2 linked regions of the Macaca mulatta genome follow. The protein of the gene in region 1 purifies or fractionates together with the protein of each later gene. This does not show direct contact. Links are inferred from orthologs where the notes say so. Each region holds a gene or a part of one and is shown in the gene's direction. Other genes may lie near its edges.

Region 1 (7,673 bases):
TATGTTTTTGTTTATATGTATGCAAAATTTAAACATACACTCGTGCTTGTCAAAAACAAAACAAGTGGAATTTAGGGATGAAGTTAAAGAATGCGTCCTGGCCGTGTGAGGTATCTTGCCTGTAATCCCAGCACTTTGGGAGGCAGGAGGACTGCTTAAGGCCAGGAGTTTGAGACCAGCCTGGGAAACATAGTGAGACCCTGTCTCTTTTAAAATTTAAGGGGGAGCTGAGTGCGGTGGCCCATGCCTGTAATCTCAGCACTTTGGGAGGCTGAGGCAGGTTAATCGCTTGAGGTCAGGAGTTGAGACCAGCCTGGCCAACATAGTGGAACCCCGTTTCTACTAAATTTTATTGTTATTTTTATTTTCTTTTTGAGACAGTCTCACTCTGTCACCCAGGCTGGAGTGTAGTGGCACAATCTTGGCTTTCTGCAGCCTCCACCTCCCAGGTTCAAGTGATTCTCCTGCCTCAGCCTCCCGAGCAGCTGGGATTACAGGCGTGTGCCACCACACCCAGCTAATTTTTGTATTTTTAGTAGAGACGGTGTTTCATCATGTTGACCAGGCTGTTCTCGAACTCCTGGCCTCAAGTGATCCACCTGCCTTGGCCTCCCAAAGTGCTGAGATTATAGGCGTGAGCCACCACGCCTGGCCCCGTCTCAACTAAAAATACAAAAATTAGTCGGGCGTGGTGGTGCAGTCTTGTAATCCCCACTATTCGGGAGGCTGAGGCAGGAGGATCACTTGAACCTGGGACGTGGAGGTTGCAGTGAACCAGGACTGTGCCACTGTATTCCAGCCTAGGCAACAGAGTGAGACTCCATCTCAAAAAAATGCATATATATTTAAGGGGAAAAAAAGAACGCACCCCACTTTGGAGATAGTTTGCTTTAAGGAATTAATTTTTCTTCATATTGAGCCTAGCTCATAATGTTACTTTGTTTCTTTGCCCCTTTGTAAAGGGCTGGAGACAGGAACTGGACTCAAGTTAAATGGAACAGGGTTGTCAAATCTCTTTCATTCCCAGCCAAAGACCTGGTTCTGTTTCAGGTTCAGAGTATGTGTGTACACGTTGATAGCGGGTGGGGTACCTACATGAGAGTACCTTGTACAGTAGAAGGACAGACATAAGTCCTCTTGGTTGCTGGTGTGTGGTGGGTAAGGAGTGCCTGCCTATGAGATGTGTGTATGTGTGTGTGTCAGTGTTAGGAATTCTTGTAAACGCAGTTCAGACTGGTTCCCCAGCTTTGACAGACACCTGATTCCCTGGGGGAGGAGGGCAGGGCAGGGCAAGGGGCCGGCTGTGGGTGTTGAGAGGTTTTGGGGTGGGAGGTGTCAAGCAGGCATTAGGATATGGTTGGGCCCTGACGCTACCACCATTCTTCTCCGTCCCCCTCCCCCAAGCTGGCGCCTACTATCCAGCCCAAGGGGTGCAGCAGTTTCCCACTGGTGTGGCCCCCGCCCCAGTTTTGATGAACCAGCCACCCCAGATTGCTCCCAAGAGGGAACGTAAGACGGTGAGTAGCAGCGAGGGGCTCCGGGACATCTGGGAAGGGGAGAATCAAGGTCAGATGCTGCTGGGACATTGTGCCGGAAAGAACAGTGACTTGAGGAAGGAGCTGAGAGTGGGCAGAGAATGGGGTCTGTGGAAGGCTCAGGTTCTTTGTAAGATACTAAGATTTTAGCATAGAAGCAGGTCATGGGAAGACTGAAGTGGCTAGCGAGGAAGTTCCTGTGAGACCTGGGTGCTGGGAGGTTGGAAGAACTGTGCTTGCTTTTGGGCTTCTGGTGGCTTGCCTTGGAAATGGTTTGTTTTCTGTGGCCCCAGCCCCCATCCCCACCCGGCCCCCCCCACAAGTCCTGGAAGCTCTCAAGGCCTCCGCCTCTGCTCAGTCCTCAAGCCCTGGGCGTGGTGCCCAGAATAGGGTGCCAGAGCTGGGGAAGCCGCTGAGTCACCCTGGCTCCACCTACTGGATCTGGGCCCTGCCCCCAGAGATCAGGCACACTAGCCACAAGTGAGCCGATTGGGTGCTAGATGGGGGTCTTGGGCCCCAGGGTGTGCAGCCACTGGCTTGGGGACTGCTGGTGGGGTAGGGATGAGGGAGGGAGGGGCATTGTGATGTACAGGGCTGCTTTGTGAGGTCAAGGGTCTCTTAAGGGTGGGAGCTAGGGCAGGGACTACAAGAGCAGCCAGATGGGCTGAAAGTGGAACTCAAGGGGTTTCTGGCACCTACCTACCTGCTTCCCAGTGTGGGGTGGGGAGTTGGCCCAGAGTCTTAAGAGTGGGGCAGGGTGGAGAGGTGGGCTCTTCCTGCTTCCCACTCATCCCATAACTTTCTTTCCCCAGATCCGAATTCGAGATCCAAACCAAGGAGGAAAGGATATCACGGAGGAGATCATGTCTGGGGCCCGCACTGCCTCCACACCCACCCCTCCCCAGGTACTGTCTGTTTTTTGAGCGATACCCTGACTGGGATGTCTGTTCTGCCCTGGACTCCCAAGTCTCTGGATCTTTTCTTTCAACTAAGGGATTTATTTCCCTGCTTTCCTGGATTTCTAGGCAGAGCTAAAGTAGAAATGGCTCTAGTAAAGAAGGGTTGTGGGACTCTTCAGTGCAAACTTGGTAACCCTTTGTGTCCTGCAGACGGGAGGCGGTCTGGAGCCTCAAGCTAATGGGGAGACGCCCCAGGTTGCTGTCATTGTCCGGCCAGGTAAGTAAGCGGGTGGGATGGAACTTTTACGGGGAAAGGGAATGTTGACAGTTTGCTGTCACCTCAATGCTGAGGTGGTGGAGTGACTTGAACTGGGTACCAGAGAAGGATGACTTAGATTTCAGGTCGTGGGATTTTGAGGGTGAATTGGGTTTTGGATGAAAGTGGAAGTATAGCTTAGGTGGGAGATGATGACGTGGGAGTGTTAAGTTGGAAATACCTTGGCTGGAGGATGGGGAGGAACAACAGCAGTGAAGCACTTGCCTTTAGTTGCTCATTCTTCCTTCCTATGGTGCAGATGACCGGTCACAGGGAGCAATCATTGCTGACCGGCCAGGGCTGCCTGGCCCAGAGCACAGCCCTTCAGAATCCCAGCCTTCGTCACCTTCTCCGACCCCATCACCATCCCCAGTCTTGGAACCGGGGTCTGAGCCTAATCTCGCAGTCCTCTCTATTCCTGGGGACACTATGGCAACTATACAAATGTCTGTAGAAGAATCAACCCCCATCTCCCGTGAAACTGGGGAGCCATATCGCCTCTCTCCAGAACCCACTCCTCTCGCCGAACCCATACTGGAAGTAGAAGTGACACTTAGCAAACCGGTTCCAGAATCTGAATTCTCTTCCAGTCCTCTCCAGGCTTCCACTCCTCTGGCATCTCACACAGTGGAAATTCATGAGCCTAATGGCATGGTCCCATCTGAAGATCTGGAACCAGAGGTGGAGTCCAGCCCAGAGCTTGCTCTTCCACCAGCTTGCCCCTCCGAATCCCCTGTGCCCATTGCTCCAACTGCCCAACCTGAGGAACTGCTCAACGGAGCCCCCTCGCCACCAGCTGTGGACTTAAGCCCAGTCAGTGAGCCAGAGGAGCAGGCCAAGGAGGTGACAGCATCAGTGGCGCCCGCCACCATCCTCTCTGCCACTCCAGCTATGGCTCCTTCAGCTACTTCCCCCGCTCAGGAGGAGGAAATGGAAGAAGAAGAAGAAGAAGAGGAAGAAGGAGAAGCAGGAGAAGCTGAGAGTGAGAAGGGAGGAGAGGAACTGCTCCCCTCAGAGAGCACCCCTGTTCCAGCCAACTTGTCTCAGAATTTGGAGGCAGCAGCGGCCACTCAAGGTAAGGATTGGTTGGGCAGTAGAGGTAGGGTGGGCTAGGGGATGTGGTTCCTTGCCCTCCTTGATGACCTCCCGTTTTTGCCATGTTTCTGGGTCATAGAGGCCCTGCAATGGAATCTAAGAACTAGATTAAGGACTTTTAAGCCTGAAGACTGTGATGCAAAGGGGAAATATGTACTTTGGCTGCTTTTTATTTCCCAGGGATTAAGGGTACTCCTTAAATTATTGGCAAAGACCCATGCTTTTATTTATTTTTTAAAATTAGTGGCAGTATCTGTGCCAAAGAGGAGACGGAAAATTAAGGAGCTAAATAAGAAGGAGGCTGTTGGAGACCTTCTGGATGCCTTCAAGGAGGTAAGGGAGCAGAAAACGGAAGGGGAGAGGGCCAAGTTGAGGTATGGAACAGTGGTCATTGTGCAACCAAAACTGGTGTTCTGTTGTTCTAGGCAAACCCGGCAGTACCAGAGGTGGAAAATCAGCCTCCTGCAGGCAGCAATCCAGGCCCAGAGTCTGAGGGCAGTGGTGTGCCCCCACGTCCTGAGGAAGCAGATGAGACCTGGGACTCAAAGGAAGACAAAATTCACAATGCTGAGAACATCCAGCCCGGGGAACAGAAGTATGAATATAAGTCAGGTATGCTGAAGAAAGGGTTGAGAATGACTTGAGTTTTCTTATTAGGGCCAGAGAAGACAGTATGATTGCTTCATTCTCTTCCTCGCAGATCAGTGGAAGCCTCTAAATCTAGAGGAGAAAAAACGTTACGACCGTGAGTTCCTGCTTGGTTTTCAGTTCATCTTTGCCAGTATGCAGAAGCCAGAGGGATTGCCCCATATCAGTGATGTGGTGCTGGACAAGGTTAGTGGCTTGAGTCAGGGAGGGGACGATAAGTTTGTGCTGGATGGATTGGGGAGGAGCCTGAGGTCCTGAAAGAGTAGTCAACTGCTCTAGCCTGCTTCTAAGACCTTTTCCTGTCCTCTTTGCAGGCCAATAAAACACCACTGCGACCACTGGACCCCACTAGACTACAAGGCATAAATTATGGCCCAGACTTCACTCCATCCTTTGCCAACCTTGGCCGGCCAGCCCTTAGCACCCGTGGGCCCCCAAGGGGTGGGCCAGGTGGGGAGCTGCCCCGAGGGCCGGTGAGTGGGGCTGGGTAAAGGGGCAGGTGGGTAAGGAGTGGGAGTGGATGATTCCCCTGTGTCTCAGTGCTGACGGGGAGGGTTTTGCCCTGGAGGCGTGTAGTAGTGGTATCACATATTGTGCTGACTAGTTCCACGTCCCCTCTTGTCTTCATCTCTTGCTTAGCAGGCTGGCCTGGGACCCCGGCGCTCTCAGCAGGGCACCCGAAAAGAACCACGCAAGATCATTGCCACAGTGTTAATGACCGAAGATATAAAACTGAACAAAGCAGAGAAAGCCTGGAAACCCAGCAGCAAGCGGACGGCAGCTGATAAGGACCGAGGGGAAGAGGATGCTGATGGCAGCAAAACCCAGGTACTGGCGAGTCCTGCTTTTGGTCTCTCTCCATTTCTTTTCCATGTCTGCTGTCAGTGCCCTCTTTGCTGCTTTTTGTCCTTATCAGTAGCATCTGTCATGCCTAAGTCCCCACCACTCTCTCCTGTCCCTCTGAACAGCCTGTTCTGAGACCCTCACTGGAACTCTTGTCTCCTCTTCCTCCAGGACCTATTCCGCAGGGTGCGCTCCATCCTGAATAAGCTGACACCCCAGATGTTCCAGCAGCTGATGAAGCAAGTGACGCAGCTGGCCATTGACACCGAGGAACGCCTCAAAGGGGTCATTGACCTCATTTTTGAGAAGGCCATTTCAGAGCCCAACTTCTCTGTGGCCTATGCCAACATGTGCCGCTGCCTCATGGCGGTTAGTTTCCACTGGGTTCTAAATCTTATGGTCTAGTTGCCCATTTCTATTCCCAAGACTCCTTGAGTCCAGCTTCTTGGTTCTCCTCCAACTTGCACCTCTTCCAGCTGGAAGGAGGCACAGCTGGGGCCAGATATCTTCCTGGGTCAGGTAGTTAAAGGCTCTTGGAGGGCCTTCCCTGCCCAGTACTAGTCTGAGTGTGACATTCTCTCCGACCTGCAGCTGAAAGTGCCCACTACGGAAAAGCCAACAGTGACTGTAAACTTCCGAAAGCTGTTGTTGAATCGATGTCAGAAGGAGTTTGAGAAAGACAAAGATGATGATGAGGTTTTTGAGAAGAAGCAAAAAGAGATGGATGAAGCTGCTACGGTGAGAGAAAACCCACTACCGATTCCACTCCCCACTTAGCTCCTTCCCTCACCCAGATTCTACTCAACTGTAGAATTTGGAATGGAAATAGTGGTGTCTTGGGGATTTCTCTGGCTCAGAACTTTTTTTTTTCCTTTTTGAGACAGAGTCTCGCTCTGTCACCGAGGCTGGAGTGCAGTGGCGTGATCTTGGCTAGCCTCCACCTCCCGAGTTCAAGCGATTCTCCTGCCTCAGCCTCCCAAGTAGCTGGGATTACAGGCATGTGCCACCATACCTGGCTAATTTTTTTGCATTTTTAGTAGAGACGGGGTTTTACCATGTTGGCCAAGCTGGTCTCAAACTCCTGACCTCAAGTGATCTGTCTGCCTCGGTCTCCCAAAGTGGTGGGATTACAGGCATGAGCCACTATGCCCAGCCAGCCTGCCTCAGGACTGAGTGCTTATTGCTAAGTTTGGATATCCAGGTAGAAAAGGGTTTTAGCAGAGTGGCTGGCTATCTTTTTGACACAATCCCTGTCATGTGAATGGCAGGCAGAGGAACGAGGACGCCTTAAGGAAGAGCTGGAAGAGGCTCGGGACATAGCCCGGCGGCGCTCTTTAGGGAATATCAAGTTTATTGGGGAGTTGTTCAAGCTGAAGATGTTAACAGAGGCAATAATGCATGACTGTGTGGTCAAACTGCTTAAGAACCATGATGAAGAGTCCCTTGAGTGCCTTTGTCGTCTGCTTACCACCATTGGCAAAGACCTGGACTTTGAAAAAGCCAAGGTAGAGGTTCTTGCATCTGGAGGGGGATGGGCTGAAGCATGCGGGGCTCACTGAGCCACAGGGACGGGGCGGAAGGCCTGAGGGGAGGGGTGGGGCCTGCAGTTATAGGTGAGACATGAGAAGTTCCTGGTCTGATGCCTTTCTCCTCCATAGCCCCGAATGGATCAGTATTTCAACCAGATGGAAAAAATCATCAAAGAAAAGAAGACGTCATCCCGCATCCGCTTTATGCTGCAGGACGTGCTGGATCTGCGAGGGGTGTGTGTCCCCCTCCTCCCCACTGCCAGCCTGCTGCCTCCAGTTTCTGACACTGTCTTGTCTGGCCTTCCCTGACATCATCGTGACTGGCCTTCTGTCTCCACAGAGCAATTGGGTGCCACGCCGAGGGGATCAGGGTCCCAAGACCATTGACCAGATCCATAAGGAGGCTGAGATGGAAGAACATCGAGAGCACATCAAAGTGCAGCAGCTCATGGCCAAGGGCAGTGACAAGCGTCGGGGTGGCCCTCCAGGCCCGCCCATCAGTGAGTTCCAGGCTGGGATTGAGAAGGGAGCAGTGAAGAGACTGGGAGGTTATACTTTCCTCTGATGACTTCCTGTTAGTGCCACGTGTCTGGGCCACTGAGACCCCATGATGGAACTGAGGATCTGAGGAAGGGAGGCTGGGGGTGGCCCAAGGGGAAGGGGCTGCTAAGGTTTATTCATTATTCCAGTATGCCCCTCTTTTTGTGTCAGGCCGTGGACTTCCACTTGTGGATGATGGTGGCTGGAACACAGTTCCCATCAGCAAAGGTAGCCGCCCCATTGACACCTCACGACTCACCAAGATCAC
Region 2 (7,673 bases), on another chromosome or scaffold:
TAAAGTCAGGTTTGTGATTTTTATTTTCATGGGAATTCATTACACGTCCTATTTTTCTGCGTATCCTTTCACATTCCACACATTCCTATCCTGAATTATGTAGTACAGAACAGAGAAGAATAGTGAGCCTGCTTATTTTCACATGGGCTAGTTAGTGATTTCTATAATATTAACTTACTGGTATCTTTTGATATCTTTCTTAACGAATAATTTTTATATTCTGAATTACCTAGGGTATTTTCCCTAATTCTCCATGGTGCTTCAATAGTATGTTATTATCATAAAAATGAACAAAGTTTTGTGGACTAGATGACCAAATGTGAGTAGCTCAAGACGATTTGAAATGTATTTATAGTTTTCAAAATCATCTCCCCAAAAAGGTAATTAGAATTGTATAATATCTGAATAGTGAGAACAGTTCATATTGGTATACTTTAGATAATTCTTTGCCTTATAATTTTATTAATATTGAAAGCTGTGTATTTTCTGTCATTTTAAGTGTATTTCATTACTACATCTTTATTTCTTCAATGACAACTCACTATTGTTTACAACATACATAGTTTTCTTTGATCTGAACAAACATGTTGAATTTGAAGCTTCTTTACCATTGTTTATTTACAGATCTTTTTAAAGTGTGGTAAAAAATTGAAAAAATTTTTATGTAATTAATGATCATTTCTGTGCTGCTATGTACAGAAGCTGTATGAGTATGCTTTAGGGTTATAAATGGGTAATATATACCTACTTAATTGAGATGGGGATGGTAATAGAGTTTAAGAATATATTTTACATATAGGTAATTGCTACTTTTCTGCACTGTCCAGTATAGTAACCACTAGCTACATGTGATTATTATTACTCCTGGGCTCAAGTGATCCTCCCTCTTCAGCCTCCTCAGTAGCTGGATTACAGGTGTGTGCACCACTGCGCTTCGCCACATGTGTTTGTTGAGTACTTGAAATGTGGCTACTCTGAGTTGAGATGAAGGTCAACTATCTCAATAATTTTTTACATTGCTTGCATGTTGAGATGATATTATGGTTATATTAGATTAAATAAAATTTATTTAAATTAATTTCACCTGGTTTTACTTTTTAATGTGGTTACTGGAAAATTTAAAATTTCTTATGTGACTTGCATTCTATTTCTATTAGAAATAGAAACATAGCTTTAAAATGTATACTTTTTGTTCCTAACTATAATAAGACCTAGTTTTAACCCTGTTCTTGGTGCTTCTGTCCAGCACTGCCTTAAAATAAAAAACTTGTTCTTCAATATTTGGATAGGCGTAAGACAGACCCTCTTTGTAGTAAGTTCTTTCCATAGCAATCCAAGTCACACTCTTACTCTTTTACTTGGAGGAAGTAGGTTATTTATTCTGACCTTCAGTTTCTTAGTGTATAAAATTGGGATATAAACACCCTCTGTATAGATTTATAATTAGGATTTAGTGAGATACTGTATATGTGTGTTAAGTCTGTGAAGCACATAGTAGGTATGTAATACATGAAAATGTGGTAATATTCTAATTATGCCACTCATTGGACACCACTAATTGAAAATGTGATTTTCGGGTGCTGTGGTCATATACAATTAGAGTGGTTACTATTGAGATGTCAGAATTCAGAAAGAGGGAATTAGTACACAATAGAAAACAGTTTTGAAGTCATCACATTCTGTACTCAGGTTATCATTTTAATTTTGGTTTTCTTAAAGTCAGCTCAATAGGGGCTATGGAACTCCAACACTTAGGTTAGTATGAATAACAAAATATAAAGCAATTAATATAAACATAGGTTAAAAATTATAAGGTCAAATATATAAATTATACTGAGAGAGAATGTTTACTGCTGCAGAGACATAAACATACTTGAAAGAATATTAAAATGGTTGAAGAAAAGAAAACTTGATTATGGGAAATAGATACATTTAAATTGAATACTCCAAGGGACAGTTTAAGACATTTTATTATAGTTCTGAGTCCTGTGTCTTCTGGACTAGTTTTGTGGTTCACCTTAATAGTGCAACGATGAAAGCGCTATGTTACAGGTAGATATTTAATGTTTTTCTCAACCATCCACTCTTACATGAAAATGTCATCTAATTTATCTGATCCTGGTCTTTCTGCCCCTTCTACTTAATCATTTTTGTTTATCTCTCTTTACTTTCACTCCCTTGTCCATTTTTCTTTAGCTGTCAATACTCTGCGATATTCCAGTTTTGTATTTTCTGTAGTTATAGTCATATGGGATTAAAAATATGGGTTTGAATCCTAGCCATAATCCTTTCTAGATATGTAACTTCTTGTGAAACACATTCCTTCTGTAAAATGAGGATAAACAGTTTCTTTCTACAGCTTTTGAGGCTTACAGACCACATATGTAAAGTGCCTAGCATAGAACCTGGTATCTAATAGGTACCATGTAGTGTGGAACCTGGAATCTAATAGTTGACAATAGTAGTGGTAATGATGAAAGAAACAGTACTACGGCTGCTTCCACTAAGACTGTAATTACTGCTGATGGTTGTGATGATGTCCCAAACACACCATCCTAACACCGGCTTCTCACCAGTTCGAAAACTTTTAAGGCATTGTTCCACTTCTCTTTAATCGTAGATACATTCTGCTTAAAAGCCTTTATTATTTTCTTTAAAAGTATAACATTATTATTTTCCCACAGTTACTACCCTTGCTCTTTACCAGTTAGCTTGTGACTGAATTACTGAAACATTTTCTTAGTGGTTTCCCACTTTATACATACTCTTTTTGTAATATACTCAATATTCTTCTGCCAAATGAATCCCTCCCATCTCCTTCCTATGATATCTAACTTAAGCTCTGACAATTTTAGTGTGGGAGTAGTTAGCAGTGATTCTGGTGAGGTAAGCAAGGGCAAGATCAAGTTACAAGGTAAAGAGTTTACATTTTGCCCAGCTGCGGTGGCTCACGCCTGTAATCCCAGCACTTGGGGAGACCGAGGCGGGCGGATCACGAGGTCAGGAGATCAAGACCATCCTGGCTAACACAGTGAAACCCTGTCTCTGCTAACAACACAAAAAAATTTGCCGGGCGTGGTGGCGGGAGCCTGTAGTCCCAGCTACTTGGGAGGGAGAGGCAGGAGAATGGCGTGAACCTGGGAGGCGGAGCTTGCAGTGAGCTGAGATTGTGCCACTGCACTCCAGCCTGGGCGACAGAGCGAGACTCCGTCTCAAAAAAAAAAAAAAAGAGTTTACATGTTTTGTGACATAATGGGATTACTTTTAAAGGATCTTCAGTGAGGGCATGCATGAGAAAATCAGCCTTCATTCAGTATAGTTTGAAGACTGCAGGCAGGGAGACTACTTAGGAGACTAGTGAAAAAATTTGGCTCTAATAGATGATTTTGTTTACAATAAAACATTCCCACCTTCCTAAGTATGTCAAGAATTGTAAAGATTTAAACACATGTAGGCTTTTTATAGGTTGATGAAAATTTTTGGTTTGAATATATCTTAAAACGTTAAAGTCCATGCACATAGACCTGACATGTTATAATTATCTTTAGGCATATAGAAAATGATTTGAGTGATTCAGCTCTGATTTGAGTTAACAATAATGAACAAAACTCTGGCCCAGTGGTAGCTAATTCAGTAGCCTTTCTGACTTAAAGAGCTTTCAGGGCAAAGCCAAGTGCCTCCACTTGATCTCCATCGAATTTGAGTATGAAGGACACTCTGCTAGGTGATGGGGATACAGAGAAGGACATACAGTCTAGTTGTGGTTTCTCATTTGAAGCGTATGACTTAGTTGGAAGAAAAAGACTGTTATATAAAAAGAAAGTGCTTTCCATGACGTGTTGAATGAATAGTATGTGAGCAATTAGTGTTACTGTAGCTAGAGTTGTAAGGGAAGTTTTAATGGAGGGAGTAAGACTTGGGCTATATCCTAAAGGATTTTGATAACTGAAAATAACAATGAGGGTGACATTCTAAGTAGGGGAACCACTGGAAACTCCAGTATGTTGATCTCTTTTAGAAGAATCAATTTTATATAGGCTGGAAGATTTTCAGGATGGTAAGTAATATGAGAACAGTTTAGGGAGATGAATTAGGACTTTGAGATGATGGCTTTTCTTGAAAGCAAACTTTATCTTGAGGCAGTAAAGCACCAGCAGTTCAGCTTAACAATCATATGGATTATTTGCTAAATTCCTTTCGTTCTTTTTTGGATTACTAATAGATCTTAAGTATTTATACCTAGTTACGGGATGTTTGGCAAATCATTTAAACATTCTCAGCCTTAGTTTCCTTATCTGTCCTCAATGTTATAATAACTAACTGCCAAACTTGTGCATAAATAAATGATAGAGTGTCTAGTACAGTGCCTGATAAATAATAGTAGGCATTCTATAAATATTAGTTTGTGTCTCTTCTCAAGATGCTTTGTCTTTTCTTAATATCTCCAATTGCTTAACTCTTAGCTCATAAAAGTCTAAGGGTTTTATATTTGGTGTTGCTGTTAGCATAGATTTTATGATCTAAACACGTGAAATAACATGCTTCTTTTGGTAAACTGTTAAAATTCAGTGCCTTGGTTTACTTTCCTTGATAATGTGAAAAATAATCTTATTTAGTTGTTGTTTATTAGATTGAAGTAGATGAAATTCCCAATATGCGACTGTAATTTACCCACAAAAATGGTCGTGTCATGTGATTCAACCTAATCTAACTTACCACTATGTCTGTAAAACAGTAGATACTTAAAATACTTAGAATTTTCTTTCACCCCGTCTCTACTAAAATACAAAAAAAAAAAATTAGCCGGGCGTGGTGGCGGGCGCCTGTAGTCCCAGCCACTTGGGAGGCTGAGGCAGGAGAATGGCGTGAACCCGGGAGGCGGAGCTTGCAGTGAGCTGAGATCCGGCCACTGCACTCCAGCCTGGGCGACAGAGCGAGACTCCGTCTCAAAAAAAAAAAAAAAAAAAAAGAATTTTCTTTCTTCATTTTTCTCTTTAAGATCCTGATAATTTAAGTGACTGTCTCTTTTCTGGTGATGAAGAAAACCCTGGGACTGAGGAAATAAAGAATGAAATAAATGGAAATTGGATTTCAGCATCCTCCATTAATGAAGCTAGAATTAATGCCAAGGCAAAAAGACGACTAAGGAAAAACTCATCCCGGGACTCTGGCAGAGGCGATTCGGTCAGCGACAATGGGAGTGATGCCCTTAGAAGTGGAGTAACTGTGCCAACCAGTCCAAAGGGAAGGTTGCTGGATAGGCGATCCAGATCTGGGAAAGGAAGGGGACTACCAAAGAAAGGTTGGTATATATCATGTCCAACAAATGGAAGATAAACAAGTGGAAAAAAATTGTCTGGTTCTTGTACTACAATTTCCTTGTTCTAGGAATGAGAGAAATTAAAACAGTGATAATATAAGGCTTTACAGTTTGTATATATTTTTACTTAGTAATAAGGTGAGGACCATCTCACTTTTTCTTTAGGTTGATCTTTTTTCTTGTTTGAGTAGATTTAATTTTCTTTAGCAAAATGTTAACGGTTTATTTCCAGCAAAATATGCACTGATGTTTTTCACTGTTACGAGTTTTGCATATGTTCTTTAAGTTTGAAAGGAGTCAGAAATCCATCATACTTATTTAATTAATATAATTATGTTCATTACTACTACTAGTAAACATAAATTTGATTGATAACATCTGGATCTGAATTTTAATGTTTTCCGAGATCTGGTTGTGAGTTCTCATTAGCTCTTTATTTTGGGTTCTGTAGTGCATTGGTCTGTTTCACTGCTGTATCTCTAGTACCTGAAATAGTGACTAGCACATCATAGACAAATATTTGTTGATTAAGAGTTTTCTGATGATTTCATCATCTTTTGAATGGTGGGAACTTCAATTTATAGTGTAGGTTTCTTGTAAAATGTTTTTGTGGTGTCAAAAATTATTTTTGTTGAATGGCTCTGCAATCATGGTTTATATCAAAATGAAACCTGGTTATCAGATTCTGTTTTGGTCTGATGGCAAGGATATAGTTGGTACAAAATAAAACCCTCCAAAAACAGAAATGTTGGTGACATTGTAAAGATTCTTTAAAAAATAATGTAGTGCATTGGTCCTTAAAACATTTCAGTAAGTTGATGTAGAAAAGCAACTTCGAAAATTGGAATTGTTAAGCTTCTATTGGTTGTTTTGTATTTAGAAAATAGAATTTTCAGGGCTGTTAATGCTTAAAAGCAATTAGTATTGTTTTCTATATTTGTAATATATTGCTTAATAGTGTGGTTTAATGTGTACTTTTATATTTAAAGAGTACTGTATTTGACTTTAAAATATTTGATGGTGGTTACTGTCCTTTTTTGTCAAATAATTTTTCCCTTGTTGAGTTTTCTATGCTACGCTTTACTGGCCCAGCATGTTTCTTTTTGTCTTGGTCCCAAAGAAATGTCGAATAAAATTTAGAGCTCAGCTGCAATATCATACCCTTTGAGGTCCTCAGTATAGCTATTTTTTATCTTTATTTGTTTTTGCTTTTATTTTAAAGTATCTGCTTTTTTAGTTTTTAACTTCATAAGCTATTTGAACTTAATGTTTTCAGAAATATTGAAAGAGTGGTCTGAACAAAAAGGAAACCAATAGGGAAAGAAAACTGGAAAAAAAAGTAACATAGACATTAAATACAAATTTTTTTAGCTGTTATTTAACATCGGAACATTTAGGATTATTTTAGATTTCAACAAATTGATGAATTTTATGTTTTTTCTTTCTCAATTCTAAACTTTTTCAGGTGGTGCAGGAGGCAAAGGTGTCTGGGGTACACCTGGACAGGTGTATGATGTGGAGGAGGTAGATGTGAAAGATCCTAACTATGATGATGACCAGGTATCAGTGCTTTGCTTTTTCATAATATTTAAAATGTTTATGAACTTTTTTGACTTCATGTTTGTAGTTTACTCATACATGTGTCAAATCATATATATATATGTTTTGGATTAGGAAACCAAGTAAACTGACAGTAATATATGCATAACTTTCACTTGGTTTCCGTAGTGAGTCAAAAATAGCTCTTTACAAATTCACTTAGGATTATTAAGTTGACCATTTTTCAGTAAATTCTGTTAATATAGTTTGTTTCTATAGTAATTATAATTGAGAATATCTTCTTTTGAATATTATGAGTTAGAGATACTAGGTTGCTTTTAAATATTACCGTTTAGAATGGTAACTAATTTTGTTTTGGGGACGTGCATCTTTTAGGGATAATGCTGAAAATGTAAATTTTTAATAAGATTGTGTAGTGAATTTTTAATATTTTTTTAATGGAAATTTTAAAGTAGAATAGTATAATCTGCTTGTACTCTTCTCTTAGCTTTACAAACTTAAATAATTACAAACTCATAGGCAGTCTTGTTTCATTCCATTTACTCTCTGTCTTCTCTTGGCCTGTTTGCCCTACCCTGTTTTGGATTATTTTGAAGCAAATCCCAAACATTTTGATTATGTTTTTTGAAAATCGTGTCTTTGCATAAGGTAAGACACGGTGATGGAAATTTTAGACAGGAAAATGTTAAAGAGTATATGTTACATTGTTTTTATTGTGTGTTGTATGTATGTATTTAACTGTTTTAAGTAATAGTTGGACATGGAAATATTTCTAAGAGAATATGACAAATAT

Evidence for each region. The genes of interacting proteins can lie anywhere in the genome.
Region 2: the proteins of EIF4G1 (region 1) and PDCD4 purify together in Homo sapiens (affinity purification with western blotting; 3 studies listed by BioGRID and IntAct, with this or other methods). This does not show direct contact. The link is inferred for Macaca mulatta from reciprocal best matches to the Homo sapiens genes EIF4G1 and PDCD4.

Annotation. Positions count from the first base shown.
Region 1 is NC_133407.1:96,458,004-96,465,676, forward strand, and holds part of EIF4G1 (eukaryotic translation initiation factor 4 gamma 1), read left to right. Parts: intron 1-1,404; coding exon 1,405-1,517; intron 1,518-2,347; coding exon 2,348-2,440; intron 2,441-2,644; coding exon 2,645-2,711; intron 2,712-3,009; coding exon 3,010-3,825; intron 3,826-3,880; exon of another isoform or gene 3,881-3,959; intron 3,960-4,089; coding exon 4,090-4,178; intron 4,179-4,270; coding exon 4,271-4,457; intron 4,458-4,545; coding exon 4,546-4,679; intron 4,680-4,807; coding exon 4,808-4,966; intron 4,967-5,132; coding exon 5,133-5,321; intron 5,322-5,507; coding exon 5,508-5,705; intron 5,706-5,927; coding exon 5,928-6,074; intron 6,075-6,604; coding exon 6,605-6,841; intron 6,842-6,994; coding exon 6,995-7,099; intron 7,100-7,205; coding exon 7,206-7,365; intron 7,366-7,421; exon of another isoform or gene 7,422-7,497; intron 7,498-7,576; coding exon 7,577-7,673.
Region 2 is NC_133414.1:123,059,320-123,066,992, forward strand, and holds part of PDCD4 (programmed cell death protein 4), read left to right. Parts: intron 1-4,999; coding exon 5,000-5,302; intron 5,303-6,785; coding exon 6,786-6,880; intron 6,881-7,673. UniProt on the Homo sapiens protein: Inhibits translation initiation and cap-dependent translation. May excert its function by hindering the interaction between EIF4A1 and EIF4G. Inhibits the helicase activity of EIF4A. Modulates the activation of JUN kinase.